Pelodiscus sinensis: one gene and its partners. The protein of the gene in region 2 purifies or fractionates together with the protein of the main gene of each other region. This does not show direct contact. Links are inferred from orthologs where the notes say so. Each region holds a gene or a part of one and is shown on either strand. Other genes may lie near its edges. The genes, in order: PKM, HDAC6 and CCT5.

Region 1 (3,742 bases), on a different chromosome or scaffold from region 2:
TTTATTAGTTTGGGGGGGGGGGGGGGAGAAATCTTTTCTTGCTCTCCAGCATGTCTTCCTGTGACATTCAGAGATCCAGCCCCATGAACATGCAGTGATATGATGAATACCGTTGTCTGCTGTAGCAAGTGGGTGTGCTACATTACTCAGTGAGGTATCTGAATTACTTCCAGCTCTGGGAAAAGACAATGTGACCTTAAAACCAGAACAGATGAGTCAGAAGCTTCTACTGGATGCTCTATCCCTGCAAACTCATCCTCTCAGTCTGCTGGTCAGAGACACACTTTTGCTGATACCAGCCATTATCGGGGTAGCTTCACCCCTTGCAGGACCCTACACACTTAGGACAAGGAAATTGGGGGCCACTCAGCAACATGGGGCCCAATCTCCCCTCTTTAGCCGTTGGAGGATTCTCAAGAGCAGCTCTTGCCTCCGCTTTGGGGCTTTGCTGTACCTGCCTCGGAGGAGAAAATGCGGCTGTGCATTGGGGCCTGGACTGGGTATCAAGCTTGCTTTCTTCTCCCTTTGTCATGGGATGTCTGGATCCATTCTTTAGCGGGCAGCTTTCCAGCTGGGATCTCAATGGTCATTTGGCACTAACAATGAGCCCTCTAGGAGCCCGGAGCCCTCCTTAAAAAGGGGGAAGGGAAAAATTCACAAGCAGCAACAATGGGGACTAGAGCTTTGTAAATGGTTTGCAGGGCCTTGAAAGAGAGGGGGCGGGGCAGGAGAGGCTGCCAGCTGGGATGCAGGGCAGCCAGGCCTCTGAGCAGGCCCATGGGGGATGGGCAAGGGGCGCAGTCCCATTAAGATGCACTGCAGCAGGGGCAACGTTCCCGGTCTATGCTCAGAGGGTCAGTGTGAGGCCAGGATGGGGGGGCTCTGGGGATGCCCTACACCCTGGAGCTCTCTTAGCTGGACCACCCCATGCCAGGAGACGCTGCTGCTGCAGGGGAAGGGAACGCATGAGGCTGGGGCCCATCCAAGAGATACTGCTGCCGCACGGGGTATCGGGGAGGCGGCCCCTTTAAGAGCTGGGGATGGGGGGTAACAGTAATAGGTGCGGTCCCTTTAACTGCGGCCGCCGCTGCCCCTGTCACTCGCAGGCTGCGTGCCCAGCCCCTTGGCGCCTCCCCATTGGCCGGCGCCCCGCGTGCTTGTCAGCTCGCCGCTCCCCGCCGCAGCATGTGCCTCCGCCAGCGAAAGAGTCCGTTGGCTCCGCCTCCCCGCGCGAGCCGGGGGCGGGCGGCGGCGGAGGGATCCGCGGGGCGGTCGGGATCACCTTGAGGCGCGTCGCGGGCGGGGCGGGCCGCAGAGAAGCTGAGACTCTCGGGGCGGACGGACGTGAGGCGGCGCAGCAGGTAACGGGGGAGCCGGCCCGGGCCCGCGGAACCGGGTCGCTGGAAGGGGGGGGCGGAACCCGCTTCCCCCCCCCTCCGCGGGGCGCGCTGAGCGTCCGCGGCCTGCGGGCAGCACGTGAGGCGCCGGGGGGGGGGGAGCGGCTCCCGGGGCCGGCGCGCGCCAGGCGGGACAAAGAGCCGCGCGCCCGGCCTGGAGCCCTGCGGGGGGGCTGCGCGCTCCCCGGCGGCGGGGGCGGGTTGCGCTGCGCAGCGAGCCGGCCCGCAGCGCTCTGCGCCTCCGAGCGGGTGCCGCTGTGCGCGGCTGCGGGGGGGGCGCGCGCTCTGCGGAGCCTGTTGAGCGGGCCACCCGCTCTCGCAGCCCCCGGGCTGGGGCAGACCTCGGGCATCGAGCCCAGCCCCCGGGCCAAAGCAGGACCGACCCGACTCACTCCCCAGCCGGTAACCTGCCGTGACGGAGTCCTGGCCCCGCGTTCCCGTGCACGGACACACGAGTGCCTCGCGGTGGTATCCTGTGAAACGCAGCTGGTCCCCTGTGGCTGAGTGTGACACACAACTGGTCCTCCGCCACTCCCCCGGACCTGTTACCCGTGCACTTGTACAAATGGCAAAAATCCAACCTCCCTGCTGCAGTGTGTCTAATGGGCCAACCTAACTGATAGGAAATGTGGGCAAACGTCATGAGTCATGTTGCTGCAGCAGGGAGACAGGTGTCTGTTGCGATTGTTCACCCCTGTGGAGGGGTAGGAGTGCAGGTAGCACTGCTCTTAACAGCCCTCCTGGTTGGCTGAGAGACCGCAGCTTCAGAGATGTTGGTCTCATCGGCTACAGTAACTGCAGTACAACAGCTGATGTCGTTCCTCTGGTCAAAAAACCGTTCTTGAATTAACTTTAAAAAATAACGAATAGTTTGGTAGCACTGGAAAGGCTAACAAAACATGTAGATGGTATCGTGAGCTTTCATGGGCACAATCCTCTTCTTTTGAAGTTCCTGAATTGTTGGCCCTGGATTTGAACCCTCTGCTTTCCTTCTGTGGGTTTTTTGGGTGGGTGATGTGTAAAAGTAAACTGAACATGCAAGTATCCCAAAAGAGAATTAAATACACCCTCCTAATTGTATTCATTAAACAAGATTCCGTTGTTGGTAAATTTAAAACTCCCTCTATTGATGGATGCTGAACTTTATAATGTACTATGCTCCTGAGGCAGACATATCTGCAATACATTGCCTTATTCCATACTTTTTGCTTTCTTTAAGATTAGGATCTAGCACCTCTGGAAAACAATTCTTGGTGTGGTTCAGATACATGGGTTTTCTTGCACTACCATTTGGGCCACTTCCTCTGCAAGAAAGTGCATACTTCTAAAGTGTAGCTAGCTAGCAATACTCACTACTTAATTACTCTTGCCTTTTAAAGTGTGTGGGGGTGGGGAGGAAAGAGAAGATAGGGCAGTGAAACAAGATAGAGCTGCTAAAAAGGGTTAAATGTAATTTGCTTAATCACTGTTCCTGGCTGCAGCTCCATGCTATAGAAGTTGCAAAAAGAAGATTGGATTCAGAGCTGCAAGGTATTTCAGTTTAGTGTTTCCAGAGGTGCAGTGGGTCAATCCTATTTGGGAGTAGGGCTTGAATTGAATGGAAAGGGAGTGTTCACTACCACTTCCCCTTATGAAGATCAGTGTCCTAAATGCTGACTTAGATGAGTATATAGTTCAATAAACTTGTTAGTGACTAACTTAGTCAGCTCTTCATTGCTCAGGCAAGCAAAGGCCCCATCTGAACTCTCCTGTGTTATGTCTGTGTAAACATGTCCAATTGATTTTGATATTCATCTGTATTTCACGAAAGACTATAAAAACCTTTGGAACATGTTTGAACCCCTCATTTTAAAGTCAGGCTTGCATGAATGGCGCTTTTGTTACTAACCAGTGGGAACTTCAATGCTGTCATCTCAGATTAATAAAAGTAGAGCAGCCTTTTTAAATGGTCATGGCTCTGGCATCCCAGCTCCTTGGGGATGGAGCACAGTAACAGAAAACACTGCTTGTGTCTTATTACCTAAGAATCAAATCTCTGTACAACCTGCTTATGGCTGCAGTGCCACTCAAGCATTTTGTGACTCTTTATTCCTGACATAGTGCTGCAGTTTGTAGGAGCAATCTTATTTGTGTTGCTGAAACCTAGCAGAACTAGAACTTTATTCAACTTCAAGAATCCTAGAATTGTATCTCCTCTACAGCCATATACCAAGGAAGATTGAAATGCAGCTTGCCCCTTGAAATAAAGAGCTTTTATGAACAGACCTGGCCCCTCTCTCCTTCCCCCAAAATAGCTCACGCCTCGCTAAGGTTATTATGATGATCTTTCATTAAAGAACTAGACC
Region 2 (3,742 bases):
GCTGGGAGCCCGCCAGGAGTCCCATCCATGTATCGGCCCATCTCTGGCTCTGCTCCCTGCTTCCCACGCCCCCCTGCGCAGCGATCAAAAGGGGAAGGGGGCGTTATCTGCCCCATCAGCTCATGGCCTGGTGGGGGTTAGCCCTTGCCTCCGCCGAGGAGCTGGGAACTGGATTTCAAAGGGATGTGGGGAAGGGGCGGGGCGGGCACTGGAGATGGGCCCAGTACTGGGAGCTACACAGGCTCGGCGCAGAGCTGGGGGCCCCTCCAGCCGGGACACACGCTGGTGCGGGGGTCGGGCTCGCTATCCCAGCCCCATGGCTACTTCAGGGCAGGCCCAGCGCCCACTGCTGGTGCCAAGCCCTCCCTGCCTCACCCCTCCCCCACTACGTTCTATGCGGCTGTTCCCCAGCTGCCCTGCCCCAGAGGTGGCTGCATCTCAGCACCTAGGGAGCCCTCCCTGCGGCTCCCTTCACTAGGGGAAGGCCGAGGGGGCCCAGCTCCCCTGGGGGGGGCAAGGGGCCAAGGCCCAAGGAGCCGAGAGGTTGGGGGGGGGAATCCAAGGAAAAATAGAGGCCGGGGTGAAGGGTCACGGGAACAAGCTGGGGAGGGGTCAAGAGAATTAAGGGTCACAGGGTCAAGGGAGTAAATCCCCCCCCCCCCGACCTAGGCCAGTGAAGAAACAGGGAGATTTTTCTTCCAGCAAGTCAATGGTCTCTCCCAGCTCCCCTCCCCCCCGCTCAGTGCCAATGGCCACTCCCAGGATCCCCACCCCCTCCATTCATCGTGATTGGTTTCGCCCAGATCTCCCCCAAGGTCAGGGTGAATGGTCATGACCAGCCCCCTCCTCCGTCAATGGTCTCTGCCATCTTCCCCCCCCCCGCCCTACTCCGAATGGAATCTCCCGGCGGGGCGGGGCGGGGCGGGACGGGGCTGGGTGACACCATCAGGCTGCGCGCGGCAGGGAGAGACCATCTGCAGGGGCGCGGCAGGTGAGAGCAGCCCGCTCGCGCACGTGGCTGGGCACCCGGGGCGGGCAGCTGGTGCCGCGGGCACGGGCCGGGGGGGGGGGCAGCGCTCTGGGACCTGCTCCCCCAAGCCCCGCCCACAGCCTGCTGCTCCGGCCCCGCCCGCTGCCCCCCCTGCCCCGCCCCCCAGCACCCTCGGCCCCGCCCCCCAGCACTGCCCCCCAGCACCCCCCACCCTGCCCCCATGCCCCGCCCCCCAGCACCCCCCACCCTGCCCCCTCGGCCCCGCCCCCCAGCACCGCCCACCCTGCCCCCATGCCCCGCCCCCCAGCACCTCCACCCTGCCCCCTCGGCCCCGCCCCCCAGCGCCCTTCACCCCCAGCACTGCCCCCCAGCGCCCCCACCCTGCCCCCTCGGCCCCGCCCCCCAGCGCCCTTCACCCCCAGCACTGCCCCCCAGCGCCCCCCACCCTGCCCCCATGCCCCGGCCCCCAGCGCCCTTCACCCCCCAGCACTGCCCCCCAGCACCCTCCGCCCCCCAGCACTGCCCCCCACCCTGCCCCCTCACCCCGCCCCCCAGTGCCCTTCACCCTCCAGCACTGCCCACCCCCCAGCACTGCCCCCCAGTGCCCCCCACCCTGCCCCCATGCCCCACCCCCCAGCACCTCCACCCTGCCCCCTCAGCCCCGCCCCCAGCGCCCTTCACCCCCCAGCACTGTCCCCCCAGCGCCCCCCACCCTGCCCCCTTTGCCCCGCCCCCCAGCGCCCTTCACCCCCCAGCACTGCCCCCCAGCACCCTCCACCCCCCAGCACTGCCCCCCAGCGCCCCCCACCCTGCCCCCTCACCCCGCCCCCCAGTGCCCTTCACCCTCCAGCACTGCCCACCCCCCCAGCACTGCCCCCCAGTGCCCCCCACCCTGCCCCCATGCCCCACCCCCCAGCACCTCCACCCTGCCCCCTCAGCCCCGCCCCCCGCGCCCTTCACCCCCCAGCACTGTCCCCCCAGCGCCCCCCACCCTGCCCCCTTTGCCCCGCCCCCCAGCGCCCTTCACCCCCCAGCACTGCCCCCAGCGCCCCCCTACCCTGCTGCCCTCAGCCCCGCCCCTTCCCCCATCTGTACACCCCCAGCTCTGTGCCCCTCACCCCCTGCCACCCCTTCGCCTCCCAGCCCTGCACCCCGTGCCCCCCCTAAAATTGCCTTCCCCAGTGCCCCTTGCTCCTGCCCCGCAGCCCCCGCCGGCCCAGGGTGGAGGCCGGGGGGGTCGGGGTTTGGCCCCTCTAACGGCCTTTGCCCCCAGCCCTGCCCCGCCATGGCGACACCCTGGGCGGAGAAGCTTTGGCAGAGGAAGGACCCAGCTCCCCCCTCCCGATCCTGAAGGGACCTGCCCCCCCAGCACACGGCCATGGTGAGTCTGGCCCTGGGGGGGGGCCCTTGGCTCTGGGCGCGAGGCTGCCTGGGCCTGCCAAGGGCTGGGGGGGGCTGGCGAGGTCCAAGCCCCCCCTTCTGCCCCGTGTGCTTCCCCCCCAGAAGCGAGGTGGCCGGAGGGGCCCCCAGCCACGCCGGAGCCCCGGGCTGCCCGAAACCAAGCGCCGCGGCCGAGCGCAGCGGGCGAGCAGAGAGACGGAGGAGCTGGAGTCGGGGCTGCGGCGCCTGGTAGGTGGGGGGGGGGGCCGTGGGGCTGGGCTTTCCGCTGGCGGCGCCTGCTCCCTGGCCGTGGGGGGAAGGGGAGCGGGTCTGGGGGGGCCGGCGCCTGGCTCCACTGTCGTGTCCCCCCCAGGACCTGGGCGTGGAGGGGACGGTGCCCGTGGGGACGGGCCTGGCCTTTGACGAGCGGCTCACAGAGTCTCACTGCCTGTGGGATGACAGGTACGGGGGGGGGGGGGGGGGAGCCACGACCCCCACCCCAGCGACCCCTCCCGCCAGTCACCACGGCCCCCGAGCCGCCTCCCCCCCAGCGACCGGCCCCCTAGCTTATCTGGGATCTGGGCCCGGGCCCCTCCCGTCCAGCGCCGGGATCCTCGCTCTGGGGGGCACATCGCCTGCCCCCCCGGCCCTGCCGGCGCCCCTCACTCCCTCCCTCCCTCCCCAGCCCCAGCCCCAGCGCCCCTCACTCCCTCCCTCCCTCCCTCCCCAGCCCCAGCGCCCCTCACTCCTGCCGCAGCCCCTGCCCCCTGGCGCCCCCTCCCTCCCTCCCTCCCCAGCCCCTGCCCCCCCCCCCAGCCCCTGCCCCCCGGCACCCACCCCTCACTCCCGCCCCCCAGCCCCTGCCCCCCGGCGCCCACCCCTCACTCCCGCCCCCCAGCCCCTGCCCCCCGGCGCCCCTCCCTCCCTCCCCAGCCCCTGCCCCCCGGCGCCCCTCCCTCCCTCCCCAGCCCCCCAGCCCCGGCCACTTTCTCCCGCTCTGTCGTTTCGCCCCCAGCTTCCCGGAGCGCCCGGAGCGGCTGGTGGCCGTGCAGGAGAAGCTGCTGCAGAGCGGCCTGTGGGAACGCTGCGTCCCAGTCGAGGTGAGAGGAGGGGCTGGGACCCCTGGGTCTGTCCCTTGCCCGGAGGTGTCCCAAGACCAGCTGCCCCTCCCCCCGCTCTGCTGCAGCCCCCCACTTCCCTCCTCTGTCCTCACAGGCCCGGCCGGCTACAGAGGAAGAGATTCTGCTGGTCCACAGGTACGGACGGCAGCCGGGGGGGCGGGCCAGCTGGGGCTGCGGGGCAGCAGGGGGGCAACGGCAGGGCTGGAGGGTACCAGCGAGGCAGGGGCGAGGGGCTCGCTCTCTCTCTGTG
Region 3 (3,742 bases), on a different chromosome or scaffold from region 2:
GACTATTATAGCAAAAGCTTCAGAGGGGTAGCCAAGTTAGTCTAACAGAAAAAACAAACGAATAATCTGGTAGTAATTTAAAGACTAACAAAACATGTACATAAAAACAAATGATCTGGCAGCACTTTATAGAGACTAACGAAACATGCAGAAGGTATCATGAGGTTTCGTGGGCACTGTTATCTGAAGAAGTGGGTTGTGCCCACGAAAGCTCAAGATACCAGCTACATATTGTGTTAGTCTTTAAAGTGCTACCAGACTATTTGTTGTTTTTAAAGTTTTTACAATAGCAAAGACAGTGCAAGTGCAAGTGCAGGTGCAGGTTTCCCTCCCTTGTTCCACTTCCGTGCTTCCATCTTGACCAACATCTTCGAGAAGACGAGCACAGCAGCTCACACGCGAAATTCGCGCACACAAGTGGCCGCTCCCCCGCCCTGCAAGTGTGACATGCACCACGCGGGATCCAGCGCCGCTGGGTGGGGCCTGGTGCCAGAGGAGCCATGTGGGCGCGAGACAAGCGCGTGGCCGTTGCGCGAGCAGCGCCCGAGACTGTTAGGACGGCCAGTGTCTAAGCGCCGCACCCGGCTGCCCAGCGCTGCTGACAGTGGTCGGGGCAGGGGGGTGGACAAGGCGACCTGCCCCAGGCCAGCGCCGCCGCCTCACTCACCAGCGCGAGCCTTCAGTAGGCGGGAAATCCCCTTTCGTCCGGAACTCGGCCCGACGCAGGCGCAATGGAGTGGACGATACCACCCGAAACGCGGGGGGCGAGGGGCTGACTTGTGGCAGGCCGTACAGCACTGTAGGGTACCGCGCCCTACATCTCACCGGTAAGTCTCGTTCTGCTCTCGCTGCCGCGCCATGGACACTGCGAATAGGATGTGTGTCGGAGTTCCGTTTAGTGGTCTCTTCCAGTCTAACTTGCGCCCTTCTTTCCGTTAGACGCTTCCAGAAGGGGTCGGCGAGGGCGCCATATTGGTCCCAACTGAGAAATCCTTCCTGCGGTAGCCTACTGCGCGTGCGCGACGCCGACAGGCGGTCACCCGTTACGTTGCGTTACGTTGGGTGTGGGAGCAGCGAGGGGCTAGTGCTCTGTCGGTTGGTGCGAGAGCGGCGCTGAGTGCTTGGCCGCTTGTGGTGGGACCATGTCGGCGATGGGGACTCTCGCGTTCGATGAGTACGGGCGGCCCTTCCTGATCCTCAAGGACCAGGATCGCAAGAGCCGCCTCATGGGGCCGGAGGCCCTCAAGGTAACTGCGCATGCGCCACTGGGGCCCGCCGGCCCCATGTGCTTCCCCCCATCCCGGGCCCGAGCCGCGCCTCCCCCCCCGCCCGCCGGTCGCTAAGCCCCCCCCCCCCGTAAGTTTGGGGCCGCCGGCCCTTCGCGCGTTTCCCTCCCGTAGTCGGGCGGGGCCGGGTCAGGCGGGCGCGGAGCTCCCCCCCCCCACTCCCTGCGCCCCATCATGGCCGCCGCGCCGGGCCCAGCTCCCCGAGCGAAGCCTTTGGTGAAGCCGGGCCAGGCTCTTGCATCGGGAGACCTGCGACGTTCGCTCCTCTGCTGGGGCAGAGACACGCGAAGCCCTTTCGTGTCGGGCCTCCCTTCGTGTCCCTCCTACTGGCTTCCTCTTCCCAGTCTCTTCAAACATCAGCTACTTCAAAGCCACATCTGCTAGCTCGCCTGCTCCTTGAACTGTCCATACTCCCCGCCAGTCAGCCCCATGGAGTCGGATTACATTGCCCACTTATTACCTATTTTAAACAAGCGCCCTTTTACTTTTGGTCATGCTGCCCCATGTTAAACTCTATCAGTTACATGGTTAAACATTTAATCTAGGTACTAGGGATGTGGGGGTATGCTACAGTATCTCTGTGTTTTACATTGGGGGAGTCCCAGCCCTATATACTGTGGATCCCAGTTGCTGGCCCTGCCATTCTGGTGCACCCGGGGTCCTCACAGTGGGCAGAAGCTCGGACCCCAAGCATAGTTGAATCATTAACAGATGTCAATAAGCATGAAGCTTACCAGTTAACTGGTTATACTTTTACATCCCTAGTTATAGCATTGCACTTAATAACTTAGGGTACGTCTAGACTACATGCCTCTGTCGCCAGAGGCATGTAGATTAGGCTACCAGACATAGAAAAATGAAGCGGCGATTTAAATAATCGCCGCTTCATTTAAATTTACATGGCTGCCACGCTGAGCCGACAAACAGCTAATCAGCTGTTTGTCGGCTCAGCGTGATACTCTGGACGCGCGGGTGTCGACATCAAAGGCATTTGTCGACCACACAGGTATGCCTCCTGGGATGAGGTATACCTGGGTGGTCGACAAATGCCTTTGATGTCAACACCCGCGCGTCCAGACTATTGCGCTGAGCCGACAAACAGCTGATCAGCTGTTTGTCAGCTCAGCGCGGCAGCCATGTAAATTTAAATGAAGCGGCGATTATTTAAATCGCCGCTTCATTTTTCTATGTCTGGTAGCCTAATCTACATGCCTCTGGCGACAGAGGCATGTAGTCTAGACGTACCCTAAGTGTAGACCAGAGGTGAGCAAAAGTCTTTCAGTGGGCCGGATTTGGCCCGTCTTGGGCTCTGACCTGGCCTGTGAGGCAATTACAGGCTCTGCCCCCAACAGGCATATGAGGGGGTATCAGGGAGAAAGAGGGCAAGGAGGTCAGGGGCAGTAAAGGAAGGGAGAGGAACCAGGAAGGTTATGGGGTAGGGGTAAGGGAAGGTGCAGGTGCCAGGGGATTGTGGGGTGAAGTTGAAGGGCAAACATGTAGAGAGTAGAGACGGGCACCAGAGAAGAGAGGTAGGGCAGGTGTGTAGTGGAAGGTGTTAGGAGAGGGGATGGGGAGGAGTAGCTACAGATGATCAAAGTGAGGCTAGAGGAGGAGTGGGCACTGGGGGAGAAGAGATGGGTGGGTGCAGAGGAGGGGGTCAGGTTCCAGAAGGACTGAGGGGAGTGGGAAGGGTGGAGCCAGGACAGCAGAGGAGGGTTGAGGGGTGGAGAGAGAGCAAGCATCAGGGGAGCAGATGGGAGGAGGAGAGGGGACATGGCAGCAGAGGGAAAAGGGAGAGGATTATAAGATATTTATTAATAGTGGCCACGCATCTGAACAAGCGCACGTGACCTCAATACTGCTGCACAGGATGAAGTTTGCTCCGCTCATGGGAGGGAAATCTTAGAAGGAACACTTTTCCCAGCTTCTCCCCCCAAGTTAATACAATGCAAATTAAATTAATGCAATTGCAGGATAGTGGCATGGGGGAGTCCTTTGGGAGCCAACCCCATCCCTATTGGTAGGACGGTGGGAGGAGTTCTTAGAGGGGTCACACAACACCCTTTACTTCTGGTCATCTGTCCACCTTGACCCCAGGAGTACTACCTCCAGGGGTGGGACATCTTGTGGCAGGGGCATGGCTAGCATGTCCCTAATTTTGGTTTGGAAAATATGGTCCCCACATCCATGTGGCTCTCCTCTCCGGGAGGGGGAAAGGCTTGCACCGCCCTTGTTCCCCAGGCCAGTCTCTCAGCTCCTATTGTCTGGTTGTTTCTGGCTAGTAGGAGTTGAGGATTGGGCGGGGAGATTACAGGAAACTTCTCCCTCCAGAGCACACAGAGAAGCCCTGCACTGCTGCATCCTGAGGGTCCCGGCAACTGTGAGACTTATCTTGCCCACCCATGACATATCTGTTTGCTGGCTCTTGTTTCATGCTTAGGCTATGTCTACATTGC

Evidence for each region.
Region 1: the proteins of HDAC6 (region 2) and PKM purify together in Homo sapiens (affinity purification with mass spectrometry, with the first as the bait; 4 studies listed by BioGRID). This does not show direct contact. The link is inferred for Pelodiscus sinensis from reciprocal best matches to the Homo sapiens genes HDAC6 and PKM.
Region 3: the proteins of HDAC6 (region 2) and CCT5 purify together in Homo sapiens (affinity purification with mass spectrometry, with the first as the bait; 3 studies listed by BioGRID). This does not show direct contact. The link is inferred for Pelodiscus sinensis from reciprocal best matches to the Homo sapiens genes HDAC6 and CCT5.

Annotation. Positions count from the first base shown.
Region 1 is NC_134724.1:37,486,700-37,490,441, reverse strand, and holds the start of PKM (pyruvate kinase PKM), read left to right. Parts: upstream 1-1,207; 5' UTR 1,208-1,361; intron 1,362-1,804; exon of another isoform or gene 1,805-1,853; intron 1,854-3,742. UniProt on the Homo sapiens protein: Catalyzes the final rate-limiting step of glycolysis by mediating the transfer of a phosphoryl group from phosphoenolpyruvate (PEP) to ADP, generating ATP.
Region 2 is NW_027466031.1:232,794-236,535, reverse strand, and holds the start of HDAC6 (protein deacetylase HDAC6), read left to right. Parts: upstream 1-837; 5' UTR 838-991; intron 992-2,264; 5' UTR 2,265-2,369; coding exon 2,370-2,372; intron 2,373-2,494; coding exon 2,495-2,620; intron 2,621-2,744; coding exon 2,745-2,833; intron 2,834-3,386; coding exon 3,387-3,471; intron 3,472-3,586; coding exon 3,587-3,627; intron 3,628-3,742.
Region 3 is NC_134712.1:136,033,653-136,037,394, reverse strand, and holds the start of CCT5 (T-complex protein 1 subunit epsilon), read left to right. Parts: upstream 1-1,111; 5' UTR 1,112-1,142; coding exon 1,143-1,247; intron 1,248-3,742. Other genes in the region: ATPSCKMT (ATP synthase subunit C lysine N-methyltransferase), read right to left, coding at 826-860. UniProt on the Homo sapiens protein: Component of the chaperonin-containing T-complex (TRiC), a molecular chaperone complex that assists the folding of actin, tubulin and other proteins upon ATP hydrolysis.